Linked DNA regions of Nothobranchius furzeri. The protein of the gene in region 2 purifies or fractionates together with the protein of the main gene of each other region. This does not show direct contact. Links are inferred from orthologs where the notes say so. Each region holds a gene or a part of one and is shown on either strand. Other genes may lie near its edges.

What was found.
Region 1: the proteins of twf1a (region 2) and dbn1 purify together in Homo sapiens (affinity purification with mass spectrometry; 3 studies listed by BioGRID and IntAct, with this or other methods). This does not show direct contact. The link is inferred for Nothobranchius furzeri from reciprocal best matches to the Homo sapiens genes TWF1 and DBN1.
Region 3: the proteins of twf1a (region 2) and capzb purify together in Homo sapiens (affinity purification with mass spectrometry; 3 studies listed by BioGRID and IntAct, with this or other methods). This does not show direct contact. The link is inferred for Nothobranchius furzeri from reciprocal best matches to the Homo sapiens genes TWF1 and CAPZB.

The regions. Positions count from the first base shown.
Region 1 is NC_091750.1:70,967,739-70,972,076, reverse strand, and holds the start of dbn1 (drebrin), read right to left. Parts: upstream 3,044-4,338; 5' UTR 2,968-3,043; coding exon 2,885-2,967; intron 1-2,884. UniProt on the Homo sapiens protein: Actin cytoskeleton-organizing protein that plays a role in the formation of cell projections. Required for actin polymerization at immunological synapses (IS) and for the recruitment of the chemokine receptor CXCR4 to IS.
Region 2 is NC_091744.1:60,883,000-60,887,296, forward strand, and holds the start of twf1a (twinfilin-1a), read right to left. Parts: upstream 2,892-4,297; 5' UTR 2,782-2,891; coding exon 2,757-2,781; intron 1,914-2,756; coding exon 1,833-1,913; intron 1,687-1,832; coding exon 1,508-1,686; intron 1-1,507. UniProt on the Homo sapiens protein: Actin-binding protein involved in motile and morphological processes. Inhibits actin polymerization, likely by sequestering G-actin. By capping the barbed ends of filaments, it also regulates motility.
Region 3 is NC_091743.1:46,416,950-46,421,152, forward strand, and holds the start of capzb (F-actin-capping protein subunit beta), read left to right. Parts: upstream 1-1,403; 5' UTR 1,404-1,635; coding exon 1,636-1,638; intron 1,639-4,203. UniProt on the Homo sapiens protein: F-actin-capping proteins bind in a Ca(2+)-independent manner to the fast growing ends of actin filaments (barbed end) thereby blocking the exchange of subunits at these ends.

The DNA.
Region 1 (4,338 bases), on a different chromosome or scaffold from region 2:
TCTACCCTTGATTCCAGACCTCGCGGAAAGCCTCCTTAGGCTGAAACAAGAATCTGGATTTGAGCTGAGTAAAGAATAAAATAGCAGCTTAAAACATAACCTGCAGGCTCTCTTCAGAGTGAAACACAACTCTGGAAACAGCTGCTCTGCTGCTCCAGCCGCCATTTTCATCTTTTGTCGGCCTGCCAGGAGTGACTCGACAGGTAATGGCTTCCCTCAACAGCTGGAGGGGTCAAAGGGCCTGCAGCTAAGCAGCGGCTGCATTCCTGAAGGTCTGCCGACGGTTTGATTTTAGATAACCTGGATTTGTTTGTTAATCAGGAGCAGAGATCCTGCTCAGGAACAGGAATAAACTCGGGAAAACAGTGGAAGCAGCAGCATTTCTGCCTTTTCCATCCGTCTAAATATTATTATTTGGTTAATTTCAGTCACACATTTGTTCGTTCGCTCTGAAGGTTTGACCAAAAACTTGTTTATTCATTAAAAACACAGTTTATAATCGCGACACACCCAGCATTACAGCCGTTGTGTTTTTGTTTTAGTAGAAACCAAAAGTTTGTTAGATTTGTTTGTTTCGTTTAGAATTACAGGTAGTCGATACGATATCAGGATAAAAAGTAGATCTACCGGGGCTTGGCGGGCAGTCAGACACGGGTTCGTGCTGAACTCGGTCACGAGTGAACGGGTGAAGCGAGGAAATGAAAAGTGTTGATCCACGTCTGAACTGAATGTCAAATCCTTCCCTTTGGCACGTTTTCTGTTTTCCTTTTACTTTGCAAACGGTTTCCAAATAAAGTTTATTCATCAACTTTCCGAGCCCAGCGGTGACAAATCTGAGTTTTCCTTTAACTAAAGGTCGATTATTACATTTTACTTTTAATCCTCGGTTTTTAATCATTACTTCACCGCTCAGGTTGTTTTCTGTCCTTAGCGGTTTGGTGTGAGTGCTGATCGGTGAGATCATCACAACCCTGGACCGTTTCTCTCCAGAGAAGGACGACAGAAGGGCAGAGGGTCACGTTTGGGGGGGCGTTCCATATTGTTTGAGGTCAGCGGTGTTTGGAAGTCTCTGCCTTTGTTCAGATCCTATCAAGTGTGAAAAACGGGGGCAGGCCCGCGGCCTCAAACATCACCCGAGCTGCTCCGAGTCCACGCTGACGGAACGCTGCACAGCTTCTGACCACTCGGCGGTTTCAGGAACCCTCCCGCTTCCCGTCAGAACTCCTCACCAAACAACTGATCACCAAAACAACAGTTCAGAGGTGAAAACGTTTCCGCACAAAGCTCCTGGACTGACAGGACATTCCCGAAATTCCTTCACTGAGATTTTAGGTGATTGTTAGGAGGAAGTCGGCACCGAAACCAGAGACAAACCAGGACCAGAACCCTAAACAGAAAGAAGAACCGGTTCCTCCATTAGAGGTCATCTGACCCGGTTCACACCAACAGATGTTTCACGGTACAGATGGAGCCTGAGCTGTGATTTCCCACCGGACCACCTGAGAGGAATGTTTTAAAGGTCCAAACTCCAGGAAGAGCCTCAGCTTCTGAAAATAATCCACATCCTTCCTCTTTTGGTTTTGTGTTCAACAGAAAGCGGAAGAAGGACGCGCCTGCAGACAAATGACAAGGACCTTGTTTGGACTTTGGGATTCACCTGAAGCGTTCCTGTTCTGGTGCCTGACCTCCGATTAGGGTCATTGGAAAGGTCAGCATCAAAGTCTGGACAAATGGCTGAAAACTAAATGTTTCACTTCTATTCTGAGATTCACCCCAAAAGAGACATCTGGTGATCGGAATCGGCAGAAACCGGCATCAGGGAAACTCAAACATTAGATCCCAGAACCATAATTTACAAGTGAGTCTGGGGTTAATCTGCTGATTTTAGGGCTTTGAGATAAAAGAATATCAGGTCAGCAGTACAGAAATCGGTATTGGCTCCTAAAACCAGGATCTGTGCACCAGTGGGTCAAATCTGGCAGGAAGTCCAACGTGTCAGATTAGCCGTTAGCTCGTTTGTCCTGGAGGACGTAATCTCCATTTCCCTGAACAGAGGCTGCTCCTGCATGAGCTCTTTACAACTTTTGCAGATTTTAAAACGGCAGAATATCCGGTTGGCTCCACACCGGACTCGGAACATGTTTTAGGACATTTGCCGTTTTTTCTCTCACTTTCAGTTTATCGGACCTTGTCATCGGAAATTTCAGTTTGTAAATCAGTTTCAAAATTGAATCCAGCAGCAGGATACAGCAGGTCCTGGACCTGTCCTCAGCCCGAGGACACGCTGGAGGACGGGTCAAACCAGAAGAACGGGACTGGAGCTGGGAGGAAAACAAATCAGTCCAGAGAAAACTTTAAATGTCCTTCAGAAAGTCTGGAAAACTGTTGAAGACCTCAAGGAAGTCTGGGAATAAATCCTCCAGAACTGAGCCTGGATAAGTTCTGGTCCCATTCCCAAATCCACAGGAGTGATGATGGAGGCCCCTCACCCCTCCTCACCCCCTCCCACCGGCCTCGCCCCTCTCCTCCCTCCCTGTTTGAGGGATGGTGGATCATTATCTCCGGACCAGGCCCAGCTCCCTCAGCCCAGCCCGGTTCCGTCTCAGAGCAGCATGATGGGTCCGGCCGGACTCTGCAGCTCGGGTCGGGTCAGGTCGGTTCAGACTCAGAACAAACTCAGTTCTAACGGATTTCCTCACTTTTATCAAACCAGAACCGGGTCCTGCACCTGGACCGTGTTTCGGTAATCCGAAACAGTACAACTGTGATGAAGATGATGCCCCTCCATCATCACCCTCCTCATCCTCGGCGCCACAAACCCGGAGAAAAGCCCGGAACACGGAGAGACGCAGCGCGAGAGCCCGGTTCGGTAAGCAGAACTCACCAGTCGGTGTCGGAGGTCTCGTCTATGACGTCCTGGTAGGCGGTCAGCAGGGCCAGGCGGTTCTTGGACAGATTCACGGCCATGTTTGAGTCCGCGTGAGCATCCAGACCGCTGCTGATGGAGAGAGAGTCGGAATAAACCCGAGCGGGGAGGCGGGGGGAGGAGGGGGAGGTGATGGTGCTGACTGGTGGAGACAAAGAGGCGAGGGAGGTGTCCGGTGGGTCCTAGAGCCCACCGCACCCAATCAAAACGGCAGGCTTCTCAAGCAAGGGGTGGCGAATCGATCCCAGCAGGGTTGGGGGGGGGGGGGGGGGGTTATAAAAATCTACGGGCTTTTTTGGTCTTTATCAATCAAAGATACTTTATTAATCCCAGAGGGAAATTAGAGTTTCAGTACACACAATTCAGTGATCAGACATAGATGGGCAAGACACATGACAAGAATTGGTGACTGTGGTCATTCGCAACCACAGTCGCACTACCTTAATAGAGATAAGAGGGGTTACATGAGGATTGGTTCAGGTGGAGGGAAAAAGAGGCACTTCAGAGTTACCCTCCCTACAGGAGGGCAGCTTTGCTCTGCAAAAAAAAAAAAAACACCTCAAACATATATGCAACAGACTTCAGACAACACAAGTGTCCACTAGGTGGGGTGGTGGGTTGGGACTATTCCCATTTCAGTTCCTGCAGCCACGATAGAAGCAGCGCATGTCACCTCAGTGTGGATAGGGAGAGGAGCATTGAGGGTTGGACATCGACATACATATATGGACAATGGGTTTCCATAGACTCCAATAACACGTTTTTGTACTAAAATGGAGGTGGCCACCACCGCCATTTTGACCGTGTCACAGGTTCCGTCAAGCCCAGACAATTCCATAAAAGGGAAGAGAGGAGGAGCTAAGGGTGGGGCTGTAAGGCTGGGATCAACTGACGACACCCGGTCGAACTAGCTACAAGCTAACCTGAAGCTAACCCAAAGCTAACGCGGAGGTGGGAGCTAAGATAATGGAGGTAGCAACCTAGCTACAACCGGAGTTAACTGTGCACAACACCAGAGCTTCTGAGTCAGAGATACGCCAGGTTGACCGCTGGGTAAAACCGGGTGGAACACAGAGGTCTCCGAGACCTCCACAAGCCGGCAGCCGCACAGCAGACAAGCGCCTCTGTGATCTGAGATGTGCAGAGCTGCCGCTGGGGAGAACCGGGTGGAAAGGTTTCCATCCCAGGGCTCCACAAGTCATCAGCCCGCGCAGCAAACAGAAGCTGCGATCAGACAGAGATGCACCGAGCTGCGGGGAGGGGAGAACCGGGTGGAAAACAGAGGTCTCCCGAGAGCTCCACAAGCCGATAGTCGGAACCCAGCTCCACCAACATGTTATATTTCAACCCATTTTCTAAAGTGCAGCATTATGTTAAATGCACTGGGTTTTACCCTATTACATTTAAATGTC
Region 2 (4,297 bases):
GTGTGGTCTTGTTGACTCTAAACAGCTTATATATATATATATATATATATATATATATATATATATATATATATATATATATATAAATGTTTTTAATATAAACAAGGGATGTTATGATTTCCACCTGTTTTACTGTTTTGACCTGCTGATACAGATTTTAACATGATATAGATCACAATAAAGGAGAGACGATATGATGGGTCACGATACTGAATTCTAGATGATGTTTACAACTTTAAACTTTGGCAAATTCAGTTCAGAAGCTTCCAAGACATTCAGACTTATGGTGAGAACATACTGTCAGAATGAAGGTGGCAAATACTGCTGCCCCCTAGCAGTCAGAGTTTGAATTGCACCATACAAAATAAAGTAATTGTTTGCATGTAAATTTTCTTTTAAAACAAAATCTATTGACTGATTTTAAAAATGGATTCAGTATCATAAAACAAAATATCACGATATATCAGTGTATCAAGATTTTCTTAAATCTCTCTTTTGAACGATTCGGACGTATTCTAAAGAACTTTAGAATGCCTTCTTCAAACACTTCTGATTATCTTAACAAGTAAAAACGTCCACATGTAGATCCGTTTTTGATAGAGTACCTTAGCATTCAGCAGTGGCATAAGATGCAAACACACTGCGGTTGACGGCTAAACGCGAGGAGTCTGTGAGGAAATGATCTTGGTCCCACTAAAAGGCACTGACCGCATTAAGGTACTCGTCTATCCTCAAGAACATCGTTGAAGTTAGCAATTCAGACTCTTCATTGATTTTAAACAGCCTTCTTTCCTGCAGTAAAACAACGAGCTCCCAATATTTTCTTAATTATTTCTATGATCCAAGGCTTCGACATAGATAGGATCATCTTAAGTGGGAAAAAGGCCAGTCCAGCTGAGGTTGCAGCGGCATGCATGCAAACACTGGTTCTGAAATTATTTAGCAACTTCTAGACAAGCCTGAACCTGATGCAGAATGCTCTGAGCTGGGGGTGGGAATGTTAGGATGAGTCGTATGACTCAGAATGGAAATCTTAGCTCAGTTCTGACCTGATTGAAAGCTACGAACATCCTTCTGATCTTTGGTGTCTTCCTGCTACATTTCTCTTTTCACTGCTACAGAAACCACTTTTGTTTATTTGTCAGGCCTTCTCTGGGGAAGCCTCTTCCAAGTTGTTTGTCAAGTTTCAATGAAACCAAACAATAACAGGCAGTGACTATTTAGCCAGGTTTTCGTAAAAAACCAGAAACAGTTTTAAATCGCTGTATTTGGCCGGATCTCTAATCTGAATGCAGAAAATGAGTGGTGCTGGAGGAAGCTTTGAAGCAAAGTGCTGAATCATTTAGGAAGTATGATTTAGCCATCTTAAGTTTTCAAAAGTTTGCTAAGAAGGTATGAAAGCACATAAAGACTAGCTGCTTTGATGTGGTGGGCCTCACCCACGTGAAAACACCACAAAAGATGGAGAGCTATTCATTAAAGCCCTTTTTGGGCAAAGTTTCCTTACAGCAGAGTGGTCCGGTGACCAGGCCAGAAGGATCCATTCGTAGCCCTGGTTGTTAATGGAGTCCAGCCGGTACAGAATATAACAGGGTAAACCATCCTCCAGCAGCGGCAGCACTAAGGAATCATATTCCTGGTCCCACGTCTTTGATGATTTCCTGGTGCTGCCTAGAACCAGCTGCTCTGGAAACCAGATGTGTGCAAACTAAAATGTCAGTGATGCACAGATTTGTCATGCAGGCATTTCTAATGTCAGGAGTTTTGCAAATGTTTATGCAAATGCAAAGTTTTAATGGTTCTTGGCAGACAGAGGTGTAAACAAAGCTTACCATCCTCAATGACGATCTTAAGGGCTCGATACCGGTCTCCGGTTTTGGCAATGGCAAAGATTTCCTTCACATCATTACCCGCTGAGAAAGAAAGACATTAAACATGGTCTGAAATTGTTTTTAAACAAACACAGCTCTTGGATAGGAGAGGGACGGGTATTTAAGAGCTGCTGCAGCAAATATTTCACTCACAGCTTCTAGAGTTGGTAAGAAGGGCTTAAAAATACTAATTTCCTTTCCTAAAGACCTGAAACTAACTTCCTCTCATTTGCATATTTTGTAAATAAAAACAGTCATTTGTGAATGCACACAGACCAGCACAAGGCTGCGCCTGATTTACAATGTTTTGTAACATTATAACAAAAGTTATTGCCACCGTCAATAACCTGTCAGTGTGACAGGTTGGTTAAAGAAGAAGGCGTTGCCCATCCATCAGAACTAAAACTAGCTTTACAGGTCTCCAGTTTGATGTTAAAAAAACTCTAAATACAAGTGACATTTAAAACAGAGCAAATAAAAGGTTTTGAAAAACAAGCCCGCTTCTGAAATGCCTCATAAACCGGCAAAGAGACGCTTAGATTCATCCCAAAGGGTCCAAACCATCGACATATATACAAAACTGTCCAAACAGTCCAACAGGGTCCAAACTGAGCATGAGCGCTGACACAAATCACAGTAGCACGGAGCTAACTTGTTAAAGGCTAGCTAAACTTAGCGCAAAATCACAGTAGCACGGAGCGAACTTGCTAAAAGCTAGCTAATTTAGCGCAAAATCACAGTAGCACGGAGCTAACTCGCTAAAGGCTAGCTAACTTAGCGCAAGCTTCTGGATGCAAGCGCTCAAAAGTAATCCTGTTAAATACACATTAATTCAGGAAAGTCGATAAAACCACGAGTACTGGCAGCATAACGATAGTTGCGCACCTTGAATGCCCGTTTGATGTGACATAGTGTCTTTCGGACTGAGACGACCGGAGCAGCTGATCTGGCGAAGCCGGAGAAGAGAAACAGGAAGTAGACTACAGCGACCGGACCCGCCCCAAACCCGTGACCTCACGTTCCCTTCAAGATGAAATAAAATACGTGGCGAAAGTGTTTTTATGCTAATCATGATTTAAGAGTTTTATTTCATTATTTTTTGAGAGATTTCAGCCTCATGACAACAAATCATAGTTGGCATGAAACTGGGTCACATCTGGCAGCCAGTGGATTACTGTCCAGGCTCTTTGTGCCTTCTCTTCATCCTTCTTAAACGAATGCATTTTGTGTTATCCCATCATTAGCAGAAGGAATCTCAGCTCTGCATCAAGCAGATCAACCACCAGTAAAGACATAAAGGAAAGGGCAGGTAGACCTACACACTAACCCTAGCCCTAATGCAACTTTTCAATCTATGATCTCAGGACTCAATGCTCTGACACTTTATAACACATTCATATATATACATATATATATGTATATATATGATATTTCCATCATGTTCCTATGAACATATTATCATATTATATATGATATTTCCCATATACATATGTCCTACACACTAACCCTAGCCCTAATGCAACTTTTCAATCTATGATCTCAGGACTCAATGCTCTGACACTTTATAACACATTCATATATTCATATATATATATATATATATATATATATATATATATATATATATATATATATATATATATATATATATATATATATATATATAATGTCATTTACATTTTTAATAATACAAGCGTGACATTTACATAATGTTGTGTAATTATCCCAGTCCTGTAAAATATAGTTTATCTAGGCCTATGTGATATGAATGAATGAATGTTTTTATTGTCACTGTACAAGGTACAGTGAGGTTGTTATCATGCATAAACTGTCCGACTAACATTTTTATTCCAAGATTAGTAATAATATTTTGAGACTAATGTATAGCCTGATAATAATTATTAGGTTACTGCCCTTGCAACCTGAACTGAGTGGAAGACAATGGATGGATGGGCAGATATTATTGTTTTTGTTGTTATTATTATTATTATTATTATTATTATTATTATTATTATTATTATTAGTAGTAGTAGTAGTAGTAGTAGTAGTAGTAGTAGTAGTAGTAGTAGTAATGTTAAAAATAATGATGAAATGTCTAAACGGGCATAAATTATACCTACTTATAGCGCCACAATAACTTTTTTATGTTTGCTCAAAGAATTTTACAAGAAAACGATTATTTTGAAAAAAAAAAAAGAAATCTTAAGACACCCAACTAAATAAAAATAAACAGTAAATTTATTGTTTTTCCTATGTTATTATTATTATTATTATTATTATTATTATTTTATTTATTTTTTATAATTATTATTATTTTACATTTAGGCTATTTTTAAGTAATGTAATGTCTCTAACCAATACCCCAACATGTTGTTTTTATAAGACATATTTTCAAAGAGTGTGTAGCCTATTAATATCACAATAGA
Region 3 (4,203 bases), on a different chromosome or scaffold from region 2:
ATGACTATTTTGAAATGGCAAACAGTAGCTCAGGAGATAGAGCCGATTGTCCAGAAGGGCTGTAGGATTGATCTTCTGCTGTTGTGTCCTTGGGCAAGACATTTAACCCACCTTGCCTGCTGGTGGTGGTATGAGGGACTGGTGGCACCAGTGCTAGACAGCCTCACTTCCATCAGTGCACCCCAGGGCAGCTGTGGCTACATTGTAGCTAATCATCACTACCGTGTGAATGTGTTTGTGCATGGGTGAATGCAAGGATGTGGTTTTGACTTTAGACATGGGGGATGTCTAGATGAAGAACGAGGCTCTGTCCTTTACTTCCATTCTCATTTATCTAGCATCGATTAACAAGGGCTGCCTATAGGTGTGCATAAGCCTTGATTACCGATATGGGATTGAATCCACCTGAGAATCGTTTGTGGCGCCGGCGAATCTGGGAGGGGAGCGCCTGATCAAGCAGGGATTTATCAGGAGATCCCGATGATGAAAGCACATCCTGTTTACAACCTGGAACGACAACAAGAATGGCCAATCACACGTTAGTAAGTATCAGCAGAGCCAATAGATGAGCTCATGGATGGTTCTAATGAGAAACAGGCGTAAACACAAGTGGTTGTTTTCTGCTTGGTCCTAGTGGTCAACCAATGTCTATTTAATACAGCGTGATATTGTTTTTGGATGGTAAAAAGTGAAGAGGACAAAAAAATGTCATTGGAAAACATTGGGGGAGGGGGTGGGACAGGTGAATGACTGATTGTGTTGTGAAGTGCCTTGGAGGGTTGTAGAACTCTAGAAGGTATATGAGAACACATGCAGGCCATTTACTATAAATAAATAAAGATGTGTCAGAAGTGTCCTACATTTTGTTCCGATTTCAAAACACAGGTATGTTTAGTTTTTCAGTAACTGAGCATCTTTTTAAAATTTTGATTAAACAAAATCTTTTATTTGCATTTGATTTATCATTTTTAATTAATCCTCTCATGATTCATGAAGTCTGAAATTTATGACTTGCAGACCTATATTTGAATAACATTGCCTAAGCATTCTATGAAACAACCTTGATAAAGAATGCATAAAACAGCAAAACCTCTTTCTACGGTCACTGAGCAAAACTAAATTTCTGAACACGGCCAGTTTCAAATGATAATGTTCAGTTCTAATTATATAAATGTTGACAGGAAGAATTTTAATTGTAATATGGATGACAGGTTTTTATGTTGTTATTATTATTTATTTGTAGTTTCAGTTTGCAATTATAGTTTTTTTTTCAGTAGCTGTCCATCTTCCGCCCTCCCTGGCTGCATATTTGCTGCTAAGCTCATCTCTTTCCATACTTGGCAATGCCTTTCTTGCTCCGTCGCTATTGGCTGATGCAAACTAACCCCCAGTGACCCGGATGTACAAGCGGGGCCTGTTTTCTCACCGCAGCCTCCTTCCTATAGCCCGGGTTGAGGAAGTAAATTTCGCTGACAGGGCTGGGTTCAGAAAGGGAGAGGCGAACAAAACATCTTCCGCGGGGTACTAAGTATAAATAAAAACGACAAGAGACCAGAGAAGTACGTTGGCAAATCACCACAAAGCTAAGGTGTACAGTCATCGGTGATATCGATCCCCGCTGAGACCGCCGCAGACATGGTAAGGCCCTCGGAGAAGCTGGTTGGAGATGGGGTTTTAGGCTTTGGCTGCGGTTGCTTTTTCACTCAGCTGCTGGTTGGAGGAGCTGGGTGGTAATTTGAGAGGAGCACGGAGCACAAATCACTGAGTGCATCCAACTTGCGTGGCTAGCAGAACTTCTGCGTGGCGAAAAGTATTATTTAGCTTCATGGCTAAGTTGCTAGTTAGCTTCCTGCTAACAGTAGTCAATCTACTTGCCTCATAGGTAAAGTTAACACAGGATGTTTTGTATTTGACACAAGTTTGCTACAGCAGGGATCAATCCTAATTTAGCTCTCTCTCTCACACACACTCACACAGTTCATCCACCCTTTTACTCTGGCTGAAACAGCCAAGCACGGAGTGGCTCGCAGCTAAAATAAGAGCGCTTGCTCCTACTATTTCTAATCATGACAAGTTGGCTGCCTTTCTCTACATTTTCCTGGATAGGTCTGACACCCAGTCCAGCCCAGTCTCCATGTTCACATGACTTATTTTTAGTCTAATTTTATTCTCGTCAGCCTTAAAATATGGTTACCTTTGTATGTTATGTCAAATTAATCCATAAAACATCATATTGAACTAAACAAAATGACAGAATTTTTCTAACTGTTTAATCTATTGAATTGTATGAACCCCAGATATGTGTGAAAATAACAGCAAAAGTTACAAGGGTTAGAATATTAACTGTTAATGAAATTATTTAAAAATGTAATAAAACAGTTGCTGCAATATTTTTCTATGTTTAGCAACATATTTTAATGTTCTAAGTTTTCCAAACTCTCTGTAAGCCTTTTTTTAGTCTCGTGGTGACTCCAGAGAACCAAAAAGATGCTTGTTATTTATCTGAATTACTAGTTTGACAAGACTCATTCACTTAACACCGCATGAGTGCTTGTTCCATTCAAGTGATATCAAACAGGTTTTCCATAACACTGAGATAATATGAATCTCTTTTCTGCTTCAGTTAATTTGTTGCCCAAAGTTTCAGCAACTCGCGTTTGTTTCCTGACAAAAGTTCAAACACACAATACAATGCAGAGGGTGGCATTTGTTAATAGATATGATGCTTATCTCTTAAAATTCAAACGTATTTGTTTTCTACTCAAACCCTTTTACTAGCTTCATTTTACATCCAGTTTTTTAGCATTTTCTTTCCACAAGTAGGCAGCATGACTGTTTGACGTCAACAGGAACTAAACCAAGTAGAACAGCTGCCCCCGTCTTTAGTCTGTTCTCCTATGACCCCAGAAGTTGCTCGTCTGATCGGTGTTTACATGAAGACAGCAGCACTTGTAAATGCATTGTCAAGAAACACGGGTGTTTAATGAAGCAGAGTGATTCATCAGTTAGAAATTGATTTTAAAAAGTGACCTTTGTGACGGGAGATTTTATGCGAGACACTTCCTATAAACATCTGTTATGTTCTGTTTTAGCCTTAATGAAAATATTTATGCTCAGAGGGCTCTCTGCTTTGTAGCATGTCATTATTCTTGTACCAGATGGTTGATGCATTCTTATGTACTTTAGTATGTTTGCACACTTCAGGTGTGGATTACCCATGTTAGATGGTTTTGTTTACATCTGTAAGGGAAGTGAATTAATCTGGTATAACACATTTTGTTGAGATAGGGGTTTGTTTGTTTGTTTTTCTTCTGTTTCAACATACTTTATTGTTGGTTTATAGGAGCATTGGATTGGGTTTTGTGTCGTTTGTCATTCTTGTTAGCAGAGCTTACATTTATCAGCGGTTCAACTTAGTTCACAAAGACAGAGGAAGAGAAGTCTCAGAACGCTTTACTCATCTCTCTGCACACACACACAGGTGAGACACATTACCTTAAATTTCATCTGACCAACCTGTTTGGAGTCAGGAAGTCACGTAAGCACTCTTAACACCTTCAAAATAAAAGCATGACAAAAACGAGAGCGTAAAAGAAGCATATACATAGCTCAACAATTCTTTGACTTTTTTGCAAACTAAGGGCACACATAGGTGTAATCTGTTGTGTTTTAGTGTATATTTTAGCACCTTAACTATGTAAGTGCTGGAGCAATAAGATTTACATGTGATCTCTGAAGACTTTGTTTCTGTCTGTCTGGTAAAGGTTGGATGAAAACATGTGTAGACACTTCTGCAGCCTGTTATCTCACCTTAAAAATGTCACTCCTTAAAACAGTTTCCTGTTGCAACTGGTCTGCCCACTAAGGTCCTGTCTCATATGGCAGTCTAGGTTGGGCTGGCCCATCTCTGCGCAGCCAGGTTTTGTTCACACAGCCTTCTCAGGGAATTAGGGGTGTAAGAAAATATCGATATGGCAATATATCGTGGTATTTTTTCCTGTGATTATTACATCGATATTCAAAAGCTGTGTATCTCATTCTTGAAAGAATTTACATGCAAACATTTGTGCATTTTCTTTTCGTTTTGTGCAATTCAATCGCCACCCGCTAGTTGGCAGCAGTGTGCAACAGGTTTTGTTTCCACCACTGAAATGTAAATCCCTCCATCATGGTTCTGATACCTCACGTTAAACATGTTGCGTA